Sus scrofa: one gene and its partners. The protein of the gene in region 2 interacts with the protein of the main gene of each other region in a pairwise test. Links are inferred from orthologs where the notes say so. Each region holds a gene or a part of one and is shown on either strand. Other genes may lie near its edges. The genes, in order: PDCD10, C8H4orf19 and EIF3E.

Region 1 (4,314 bases), on a different chromosome or scaffold from region 2:
TTTGCTTCTTTAACAGAGATCTCTTTCAATTCTAGGAACCTGCAGTATAACCGCCCTGGAAAACAGGTCGGTAGCAGGACAATCTGATAAAACAATGTAAGGGGTAGATAGTGAAGAAGAATGCAAAGTTATTTTCCTAGTGAAAGAGTTCTGAAGTAATTTTATATCAATGACATTTTTTTTTAACCGGCTACGCACCTATCTAAATATCACCCTGTCCTAAATTAGTAGGGTTTCCTCAATCTTAAAATCTTCCAGAACAGTTTTAACGGTACAACTGAAACCAAAAACACTAACCACGCCCTTTATACCCAGAGTCAAACCACCTTTTGCTTTTTATCCTCTCTCCAAGTCCAAACATGTACATCTTTCACCTAAAAGGGTTTGCACCAGTTTCCTAACCCGAGTGAGAGACTCTTAGCTGTGCCTTGATATTATTCCTATTGGGAGACGCTTTCTCCCAGGCAGAGCAGACGCCCAGAAGTGGCACCCACGCTTACCTCCCACACACCTGCAACCCCTGGCGGGATGCTGGAGCTAAGGCTCCGAGGACTGCGCTCCGCTCCTGTTCCTGCTCTCCTCTCTCCCGGGAAACTACAGTCCAGGCTGCGCCTTCGGCTGCTACAGGGACCCAAGCTCCGCCTCTCCCTCCTCTAGTTGGCGAATTCAGCAGCTGTTGCTCCTCCCCCGGCTGTTCCGCCTGCTGCCCGGTTGGAGGCGGCGGGAAGCTGCTGCCCTGGTACCTTCGCGCTCCTAGCACTTCTGCAGCTGTCCTATCGCTTTCCTTCCCCGGGGACCCTTCTCCCTTCACTCAGTGGCTTGACACCTGGCACAGGGCTTCCCGCCCCGTCCCGACACCTACGCGAGGAGCCCGGGCTCGACCTATCCCTGACTGACCAGCAGGTCTGGCCGCCCGGTGTGCCTGGTTCTTGGCCGCTTTGGGGGAAACTGCTCCTCTAGCTAGGGCGCATCCTCACACCGCGTCCTCGCTCCACCAGGGCGATTTCTCCCCCCCCCCCCCCGGCTTCCTCTCAGGTTCCACAGCTCAGGCGCCCCATATTCCCCATTCGGAGCTCTTCCCCCGCCCCCATTCCTTCCTGGGCTCCGCTAGCCCGCCCCCACAATGGGTGAGTTGACTGCGGGGCCGACCCTGCATCCTGATTGGCGCAGGTGAGACCTGACCCCTCCCTTCCTCTTCTTTCATTTCACCCTCTCTCTTCTTCTCACCTCCTCCAGCAAAGGCAGGGAACTCTATTACTATTGGTTGAAACTGTCTCCACCCATCACCTTAGGCTCTACCGCAGGGCCTGACGGGAGTTGTAGTCTCTTATGTGCAGGAACTGCCGACGAAGCCCGCGAGTGGGACTACGAGTCCCCACAAACCCCTGCGCGACTCCGGCTGGGCAGGATTCCGGACAACGCCTGGTTCCTCTCGGGTCCTTCCGGCGTCGCCGGAGTGAATTGATCCGGGAGTTGAAGAGGGCTCCAAAGGTGGGAAGTGAAGTCAGTCCCTCAGTTGCCGGTAAGGTGAGGCTGTTCTGTCCCAGTCCCCATAGCGCCGCGCGGAGCAGAAGAGGTCTAGGGTCACACGGGAGCCGTGGCTGAGGCCCTTGGGCTTGGTTCTGGCAGGCGGAGCGGACGGGGCTGGGAACCGGGCCCTATGGGCGTAAGCGAGGTTACCCTACGCGAGTGGCGTAAAGCGGGTTTGTAAATGCCGCCTGCCCTGCTCGGGCCCGAGCGCCTCCAGGAAGTCTTCTCTAGGTGGGGGCGGGAGGGGAAGGGCGAAGTTGGCCTCTGGTGCCCCCGGAGAAGGGAGAAGGCGGATGTGCCTGGGGTGGGGTCCTCTGAAGATGTGGCTTGGGGTGAGGAGGTAAGGGTTTTCCCCCTGCTTTAGAAGTAGGATAGAGAAAAGAGCAGAGAAAGGAAGGGGCGATTGGAGTCTGCTTTTGAGGTGACTCGGGTTGTGTCCTTCGAGGGAAGAGGAGAACTGTAGAAGGAAGAGTCAGATGTTGACAGAGATCTACTGATTCAGTTCCAGTTTCATGATGTCCCTCTAAGGAGGTAATTTTGCCCCATGTAGTAAAGATTAACACTATTACACCTTTACTGTTTTCAAAGGCCATTCACAGTGCTAATGAGGAAACTGAGGGGATAAATGACGTGCCCAAGGACGCACAAGTAGGGACTGATCTTCTGAATCTAATCCAGTTGTAATCCAGCTTCTGAATCAGAGCCACCGCACCAGACTGAAAGTGTAGGAAGGTTTTGTTTTTTGAAGAGGGTGGAGGAAGTTGCAAAGTAATGCATTTTAGGTATGTCTAAGAACCTCTCTGTGAGGTGAAGAAGGTGTTTTTTTGTTTTTGTTTTTGTTTTTTTGAGCTGGGAAGAAATTTCTCAATAAAAAAAAGCATGCACTCTGACCTTTAGGAAAAATAAGGAGAATCAGTTTCAATTTACCTAGTTTGCTTGTTTTTTGTGGTTTTTTTTAGGGGTTTATTAAGTGACTCTGCTACCATTTTAAAGGATAGATAAATGGGATGGGGAAAGTCAGATAACAGTATGTCTCATCCTTACAGGTGAAAGACACCCCTTTCCCTTCCTACCATAGGACCGTTTTTACTGTTTTCGCTGTCAACTGAGAGCAATGGGATTGGAATTCTTTCATGAAACTTATTTTACATTTTTACAGCACTGAGAAAGATTTTAGTGAGCTTATTACTAGGAAAGAAGATACATTGCTTTTTTGGAGGTAACATCACATTTTGTTGTGTTGATTTTGATTTCCCCCTCATTTTCTTGACTAGTGTGTGTTTGTGTGTGTTTATAATAACACCAGGCTCTTGTGTATTTTAATTTTCTTAGCATCATCTATAACTTTTAACTCATTCTTATTTTACGTTGGAGAATGGAAAAATAGGACATTTGTGTTTTATTTTGAACAGAAAGCAGTGTGCTTGTTCCAGTCTATCCTTTATAACTGTTAGGACCAGTTACAGTTATAGTTCCTAAATATTAATATTATACAGTTCTTTAATAGAATTTCAGGATTATGTTCATTGGCATCATGATTTCTTCATGATAAGTTTCTGTCTAAGAATCAGGTATCTACTGATGGCAGATAATCAATCATGGTTTACTGTTGTATAACTGATGATTGAAATATGTTGTATTTTAAATATACTCTGCATTTATTTAACTTGTACACAATGTGTTTAACTTTTGAATCCAAAGACACTTTCTAGGATCAGAAGTACTAATACATTCCCCTAGGATTGAAGTGAAGATGGTCTGGAAATTAATATGACTTAAAATTAGAAGAGAGGTGTGATACTATAGAATGAAGTAAAATCAGGAATAATTAGCACCACGAGTAAGTAATGCAGTACACAAGGAAGGAAGACCAACTAAACAAATGGAAAATTATGTGGGGATAACTGGCTCAGTGCTGTGTTAGAAGGGTGCGGTAGTTTAAGTAGACCATAAACTGAATATGAGTCAGTGATAGTAAAACAAGAATGTTAATCTATTCTCTATATGGCAGTGTAGGCATTTGTTTTTTGTTGGAGGAAGTGAGAAATGAGTTCTTCTGACTTTTGGCATAGAGCTGGGAGCTTGTGGAATGAGCTTTTGAACCAAAAGTCAGGAAAATTTGGAAATCAGTAATATAGGGCAGTTTGTCTAGTATGTGTTAGTTTTTGTCCTTGGTTAATTCTACCACTAACTTCTCTTCATCTCTGAGGTCCCGTGTGTAGTTTTGCTCTTTCACCTATGGTGAATGGTGGAATAATGTTTCTGTTGTATTTGTCATCTTTCAGTTCACATGCTGGAATACAGTGGTCATTTTGGATCTCAGTGCATTGAATAATTTAGGGTTCACAAAATGATGTGTACCTTTGTATTTTTATAGTAATTTGCAGTTCACCAATGTCCACATGTGTTCCTATTTTGAGTTGTAGGAGCCCTGTGTCAGCTTTTGGATATCATCTAATACAGGGCTTGGGATGTGTACCACATACATCTATCTTTGAAGACATAAGATCTTTAAGAACAGGATGATCATCATTGTATTCCTAGTAGGTCACATAATTGAGTATCTGTTTACACAGAGAATAAAGAGGTTCAGATTGGTTAAGAGGAAGGTGATGTAACTAGTAACTTGGTGGGACCAAGACATAATCCAGATGTTATGACTATAGATCTTTAATATTGTGGAATAAAGACTCAGATTATTTATTTTACATGAGAAAAAGACTTAAAATGATGTAAAATATTTAAGTACTGTTACCCTCTTACTCTGTTTAATCTTCACAATTT
Region 2 (4,177 bases):
CAGCTCAGGATAGCATTTTCTAAATGACATTGAGTATTTTGAGTTCTTTTAAATCTCTGCTTGAGGATACACATTCCCCTGATGGGTGTATTATAACCACATTTTAGGATAGGGTCATTTTGATGATATATGGTCCTTTTGAACATTGCAATTGCTATGGGACCATGATATACTAAGGTGACAGGGGTGTGAGTAGACAAAAGATTTCATTTTCATTTCTTTTATTTTTTTTAGGGCCGCACCCATGGCATATGGAGGTTCCCAGGCTAGGGGTTGAATCGGAGTTGCAGCTCCCAGCCTACACCACAGCCACAGCAAGGTGGGATCCGAGCTGCACCTGGGACCTAAACCACAGCTCATGGCAAGGCCTGATCCTTAACCCATTAGGTGAGGTAGGGATCGAACCTGTGTCTTCATGGATACTAGTCAGATTCGTTTCTGCTGAGCCACAATGGGAACTCCCTCATTTTCTTATTATTCTTAGCATTATTTTTAAAAAGCATATAATGAGGTAATCAGTCTGACCAGCAGACAGATGAAGGCTCAGGTCTGCCTTCTCCTAGCATGAGCCTATCAACTCTTTTCTAAATAACCATTAGATTGATTATTGGGTGCAGTAATTCTACCTGCACCCAATAATCAATCTAATGTCCTGAAGAAGAAGAAGAAATAGAAATGCAGGAGCTAGATACTGTCTTACCAAGAGCCAAAGAGAATCAAGATTCTGAGTTATTGAAAAAACTGTGGAACTAGAGGAATTTGAAATGAACAGTTCAGGTGGAGGAAACCCAGCTACTACTGAGAGGTTGGTATTCAATTTCTTGGAAACTGGAGTTCATTCCTGGAAGCACAGTCAATGGGCTCTTTGGGCACCAAGGGCAGGGCAGTTCCTGGAGCAAACAGGGCAGTACTGCTCTGCCCTTGGGCTGACACTAGATTGTGGCCAGCACTTGGCATGGTTGTTTTCAGGCTCAGACTGGGACTAGGTAGGAAGTCAGGGGGATCGTCCCATTTCTAGGTTAATGAACGTATTTAGTTGACATGCAAGTTATTGCTCTGCTTTGAGTTCCAAACATGCAAAACCTCTTAGAACATAGCTAAGATGGGCCACCTTGATCTTCGGATGTCATTATATATCTAAATCTTGAAAACCTTTGAGGGCCAGGCCCTGGGGCCAGATGCCATGAGGTAGGTGCTTATCACATACTTGCTGAATCAAAGAACTGGTTTGGGATGGACACAGAACTAGCAAAAGAGATAAAGACTGAAACCCTACTTCTATCAGTGTCTGCTTCATTTTACCTCTGCGATCAAGGGAGCTTCCTACAACTGACTCTTCACACTTTAGAGAAACACAAACAACTCCAGAACTCAGAGCTGTGTTATTGTTTCAGTGATAGGCTTCACAACTGAACTGTTCTATAGATATGGGTTTAACATCTGGCTCCTTAAAATAGTGTTAACTGGGGGATTAAATGTGGGAATAAGTGGCAAATCCAGAATCTATTGTCTTTAAAAGCAGCAACCCACTTTCCATTTCTTTCTCATTCAACTCTCAGATGTTTCTTAAATAGCTTGTTTACAACTACCCAGGAACATGCATAAGCTAGGGTGAGAAGTGAGAAAATAACCACTCTATTCTTTAATGATTTGAACCACCTCATGGAACACCGACTTCTAAATTCACTGGGCAAACATCTATACTGCAATGGAAAATATAATGTACTAAATTGCTAATAGGAGTTTTTGTTTTGTTTTTAAGGTTAATCACAGTGCTGGAGGAAGAAAAAAAAAAACCCAAACATTGATTTCTGTCTTGTATCACTAGAAAAACTGCTCAGTGGTGGCTTGTGAAAAATCTCACCTCATCCGGACTGCCAAGGTCAATGAGACCCAAGTAATCGACCTGGGAGATGCTTGCCTAATTATCAAACATTCTGCAAACATTTTGTGAACATTTAACCGTTTGCACCTGGACCCCTCCTTCAATCCATGCGGCTTCCTAGGGCTGCACCCTCTCCTCTCCACCACCCAGGGCGCCAACACCCCAAAGGGGCAAATCCTGGGACCCAAGGACATTTCAAAGAAACAGCGGCGGTCACCTTCCATTTCAGTTTTACTTAAAAACACTCAGATGTTTAAAAATAGGGGAAGAGGAGGGCTCAGAAATAAGAGGAAAATCTTTCGCAGTTTTTCCAATTCAAGTTCTCAGGCACCGTTGAAAGTTCATTAATTAGAGATTTAAAGACAGAAGTGTTTCATATACCAATCAGATGCCAAGCTTTGCAAACTGTCTTTGTCTTTAGTTGGGGGAAGTTTGTAAAAGTCCCCCCATCCACCCCATTCTGGAGTTTGCTTCTCTTTCCGCGCCTTTGTTGAACGACCTGACTTTCCCGAAGCAACCAAACCGAGAACTGCCTCACCCGCCCTCTTTTTTTTTCTCCCCCGGCAAAAGGAAATAAATAAAAATGCCCCGCGAGAGAAGTGGGAGAAATCATGCCACAAAGCCAAGTTCCGCGGGAGTCGAGCCCCCGTGTTGCCCGCGGCGGGGCCGGGAGCGCGGGGCGGGAGAAGGTCCCTACCTGGGGCCGGGCAGCAGCGGCGGTGTCGCGGCGCCCATGACTTCGCCGGCTTCGGGCGGCCGCGCGGGGAAACGCCAGCGGCTCAGCAGCGCCTGGACCCGCCGAGCTCGCTGCGGCCGCCCCGGCGCTGTCATTGGACCGATGAGTCACGTGGTCTGGCCGGCGGGCGAGCCCCTCCGGCCGGCGCAACCCCTCACCTGCGCGCCCCGCTTCGCGCAGAGGCCCCGGGAGCGCGACAGCAGACTTCCCGAGCCCGGACTGGGCTGCAGGACGCACCGGAGAAGAAAATCCCGGAGTTCGGCCTCTGATCCCCGATACTCAGGCTGCCAGGCAGCCGGCGCCGCGAAACTTTGGTGCCGGCTTTTCCGCCGTGCTGCTGGGAGAGGGGAGCTTCCTCAGATTCGGCGTGAGTCAGGGAGGTACGTAAATGCACTCCCTGGCGAAGAGACCTCCCCTCGTCCCCCGTGAACTTGGGGTTTGTTTCCTTCCCGGTTCTGGCCATAGCCGCTTACACCTGGTGTGTGCAGTTCGCCTGCTTTTTATGGGATAGATGGGAAAGAGCGCAGACGCTACTGGGGCGAGAATTCCCAGGGAAGTTGCACACACTCATCTGCACCCTCAGGACCGCAGTGGGAGTTCAATGATGTGCTTTCCTGCCCCCACCTTCCCTTTCTGTGCCTGGGGTGTTGGAACTTTGGCTGTCACACTCCGTCCACCGTCCTGAGCTCCACGGCCGTGCTTGCTGCAATCCGTGCATCTAAGCTTGGTTGCTTTACTTTAAAATAGTATTTAAGGGTTGGAAAGTTTATTCACCTGTGCTCCAAAGTGCGTCGGTGTTGGTCTTGACAGGAGAATGTGTTAAGCAACGGCGCCACCTAGCTCGTCGTCTTCTCTCTTTCCCCTTCATTCATTCGGGGAGAGTCAGGATAAAACAGAATGCTGGAGAAGCAACAGACAGAATACTATTTAAAGATGAACACACTGCCCTCAGCTCTTAATGTGTCCACTCTAGTGATTCTAGCGCCATTTACACGACGACATTTCCCACGCTTTATGGGGGGAAACTCATGTTTTGAGATTCTTCCCACTTGTGTAGTAGCAGCATGCTTTAAAAATGATAGATTTATGAGGGACATTAAATGCTCTTTTACATCACTTTCTGATAAAAACTCTTTATCCCAGTAAAGGACCGTCCTAACTTCTAGCCCACGCTTAAGTAATGTCCACAGGATACTGATTACATTTATCGGTTAGATTATTCTAACCAAAAAGACTGGTATTTATCTTGGGTTTTAAAGTATAGTTCCCAGACTAGCAGAATCAGCATTATTTGGAGGAATTTAGCAAAAATGCAGATTCTTGGGCTCCACCCCAGACATTTGGATTCAGAGCTGGTGGAGCCAGGGAGGGTGAAGTAACTTGTATTTAAACAAATGATGTACATTCCAGTTTGAGAACCACCATCCTGAGTCTGCTCAAGCAGCTGGCTAAATTCCACTCATTTGTTAAAGGTTGGGATTCTGTAAAGTCAGAGGTGGTGGTGTTACTGGTAACCTCAAATTACCAGTGTTACATAATATGTCATGTTGACACAC
Region 3 (3,364 bases), on a different chromosome or scaffold from region 2:
TCAAGGGTATCATGAGCAGAAAAAACTAATCTCAAAGAAGTTACATGTTGTATGGTTCCATTGCTATTAACATCTACATAATGACAAAATTATTGAGACAGAAAACAGACTGATGGTTGCCAGAGGTTAGAGCTGGAGGGAGTGGATGTGACTCCAAAGGGGTAGTAGCATAAGGGAGACCTTTATGAGGATGATACCTCTATATCTTGACTGCAGTGATGGTTACACAAAAAAATGCTCAAATGGCACAGAGCTATTCACACCACTGTACCAATGTCAATATCCTAGTTTTGACATTAAAAACGAACTAGGTTTAGGTTGCATAGGACCTCTCTGTACTATTTTTGTAACTTCCTGTGAATCTATAATTATTCCAAAATGAAAAGGTAAAAAAAGCACACACTGAGGAGTTCCCTAGTGGGCTAGTGGTTAGGATTCTGTACTTTCACCACTGTGGCTGGGGTTTAATCCATATCAAACTGCTGCATGCAGGACCAAAAAAATTAAAAAAATTAAAAATAAAAAGCAAACACTTACATACACAAGGAAATAAAATGAAACACAGCCAATTTTATTCAAAATCTCCAAAATTTATAATCAGTATGTTGTTTCTAAAATGCTTCACCTTTATATAATGGCTTTATTATTTCATCTTTCTTTTACAGTTTTTTTTCATTTTTCTTTACAGATCTTCAATAAAAGCCAGAGTCCTGAGTTGCCCAGTTAGGAGCCTAAAATACAAAGAGAAACAGAGTGAAAAATATTTTCTGAAAAGCTACCTTAGAAAAAAGTGACACTAGCATTTTTTCAGCATTACTTCTACAACATTCTTTAAGATTTTAACAAATCCTGGAATTACTAAATGTGAGGTGTCTCACTTAGAGCAAAACAAACACATCAAAATACCATCTGATTAGGTATATAACAGAATATTATTCACCCATAAAAAAGAATGAAATAATGCTATGTGAAGCAACATGGGTGGACCTAAAGATTATCATACCAAGTAAGTCAGAAAGAGAAAGACAAATACCACATGATATCTCTTATGTGTGGAATCTAAAATATGACACAAACGAACTTATCTATGAAACAAAAAGAGACTCACAGACATAGAGAACAGACTTGTGGTTGCCAAGGGCAGAGGAGTGGGGAGGAATAGATTAGGAGTTTGGAATTAGCAGATGCAAATTATTACATATAGAATAAACATAAGGGCCTATTGTATAGCAAAGGGGACTATATTCAATATACTGTAACAAACCATAATGGAAAAGAATATGGAAAAGAGTATGTATGTACATATACACATACATACACATGTATATCCATAAAGAACTGAATTACTCTGTTGTACATCAGAAACTAACACAAGATTGTAAATCAACTATATTTCAATAAAATAAATTTAAAAAAACCCTGGAACAGTTTTTGACCAATTATAAAGTATAACAATGACAGTATCATCAATACCATAACGAAAATCAATATAGACTGATCCATAAGCATGTAGGAAAAAAACCCATTGTATAAAAGTTATTTTTCAGGTTCAATCATTCTAGACTTGGTTGTAATAGGCAAGGACAATTTCTTAATTCTTCTGTCTTTTTAACAAGGCCATTCAAATTCCTTTAATATCTAATATGCAAAATTTCTATCAAAAAGGGGGATATATTTTTCTGACAGTTAAATATGAATATCAGATAAAAATCAAATTCTATAAGATCAATGTTAACAGATATAATAAGGTCAACACTTCCAAAGAAGTTCTTTAGATTTAAAAGGACCACAAATTTCAAGTACTTGAAAGAGATCAACACATGTAAATTACCATTTGCCAGTATCAAAACAATGTGCTGAAAACACCGAGGAAATGAGTTAATGAAGGCACACAAGTAAAGGAAAAAAATATAATAAACTACGAACACATTTTTTACCTTCCTCGATTAATGCATAATATATCTAAGAGAAATTCTTTTCAGTTTATAATTTCTTTTTTTTTTTTTTTTTTTGTCTTTTTGCTATTTCTTTGGGCTGCTCCCGCAGCATATGGAGGTTCCCAGGCTAGGGGTTGAATCGGAGCTGTAGCCACTGGCCTAAGCCAGAGCCACAGCAACACGGGATCCAAGCCACGTCTGCAACCTACACCACAGCTCAGGGCAACGCAGGATCCTTAACCCACTGAGCAAGGGCAGGGACCGAACCTGCAACCTCATGGTTCCTAGTCGGATTCGTTAACCACTGCGCCACGACGGGAACTCTTTTTTTTTTTTTTTTTTTTTTTGTCTTTTCAGTTTAGTAATTTCTTAAACAAAATAGTTTATACCCCCAATAAACAAATACAAAATCAGATACAACCAATATTAATTTGTTTCCAAGTGAAGCCCCTTTGACAATTATGTTACATTACTGCTAAATCCCAGACAGAATAGGTGTGGTTCTTACCTCTGACCTACTATTTTGATTCAGTTTCTTCTCAATATTCATGGCCAACATCTGGCTTCTAAATGAAAGGCTTTTGGTCTTTTCAATCACTTGCTGATAGGGTGAGACTGCATTGTTACCCATAACCACATGACCCTAAAATGAGACAGAGGGAAATTGATCCTGTAATGTTAACAACTGAGTTTCCCACATAAGTCATGAGTATGACACCATAACACTACCTGCCTGCTGCACATATTTTTCTGAACTGTAGAGAGATGACAATATTCATCTAATAACACAAAACAGGAGGTAGCTGTTGCCTTCAAGGAACTACTATACATGAATAAATTCTTAATAGAGAAGAATAGATTTCCTAATGAAAGCCCCCCTCCAAAATATAAAATAATCTCTCTAGTATGTAGCAAAGCTATCATAATACTCACTAATTTCGAATCAATCTTGGCATCCAGTCTTGCGTTTCTAATCAAATTTACAATCCACCTTTCAGCTTCTTCTGGAGTCATATTCAGTTTATCTGCCAACATGCTAATTAAAAAACAAAAAAGACATTAACTGAGTCTAAAAGCTTTATTTTATATACATAGTCTTTGACCTATACTATGTATAGAAACTTTTAGGTATTTAAGAGCCACTTTATCTTAAATATTATGACTTTTAAAACTACTGTTCATATGTTTGTGCTATTACTATCTTGTACTGTTCACAGTCCATCTCATTTCACCAATCAGATTGTAAGATCTTTAAGGGAAGTGTCCCATATTCTGCATTTACAGAAATTCTTTTAGCTTCCAGAAAAGTATCTTACACTTACCAGGTGCTTAACCAGTAATGATCTAAAGAAGAAAAATATCTTCTGATGTAGAGTATCAGTTTAATATTTAATATTAAATATTTGAGTATACAAATTAAACCAATT

Evidence for each region.
Region 1: the proteins of C8H4orf19 (region 2) and PDCD10 interact in binary tests that used the Homo sapiens proteins (3 or more experiments, as listed by UniProt). The two-hybrid records come from large-scale screens. The link is inferred for Sus scrofa from reciprocal best matches to the Homo sapiens genes PGCKA1 and PDCD10.
Region 3: the proteins of C8H4orf19 (region 2) and EIF3E interact in binary tests that used the Homo sapiens proteins (3 or more experiments, as listed by UniProt). The two-hybrid records come from large-scale screens. The link is inferred for Sus scrofa from reciprocal best matches to the Homo sapiens genes PGCKA1 and EIF3E.

What each region holds. Positions count from the first base shown.
Region 1 is NC_010455.5:106,556,019-106,560,332, reverse strand, and holds the start of PDCD10 (programmed cell death protein 10), read left to right. Parts: upstream 1-1,382; 5' UTR 1,383-1,522; exon of another isoform or gene 1,523-1,527; intron 1,528-2,118; exon of another isoform or gene 2,119-2,312; intron 2,313-2,576; exon of another isoform or gene 2,577-2,749; intron 2,750-4,314. UniProt on the Homo sapiens protein: Promotes cell proliferation. Modulates apoptotic pathways. Increases mitogen-activated protein kinase activity and STK26 activity. Important for cell migration, and for normal structure and assembly of the Golgi complex.
Region 2 is NC_010450.4:29,011,544-29,015,720, reverse strand, and holds the start of C8H4orf19 (uncharacterized protein C4orf19 homolog), read right to left. Parts: upstream 2,838-4,177; 5' UTR 2,583-2,837; intron 1-2,582. UniProt on the Homo sapiens protein: Acts as a tumor suppressor. Acts as a tumor suppressor for colorectal cancer cell proliferation by targeting KEAP1/USP17/ELK1/CDK6 axis.
Region 3 is NC_010446.5:29,340,780-29,344,143, reverse strand, and holds the end of EIF3E (eukaryotic translation initiation factor 3 subunit E), read right to left. Parts: intron 2,974-3,364; coding exon 2,871-2,973; intron 2,581-2,870; coding exon 2,446-2,580; intron 732-2,445; coding exon 693-731; 3' UTR 551-692; downstream 1-550. UniProt on the Homo sapiens protein: Component of the eukaryotic translation initiation factor 3 (eIF-3) complex, which is required for several steps in the initiation of protein synthesis.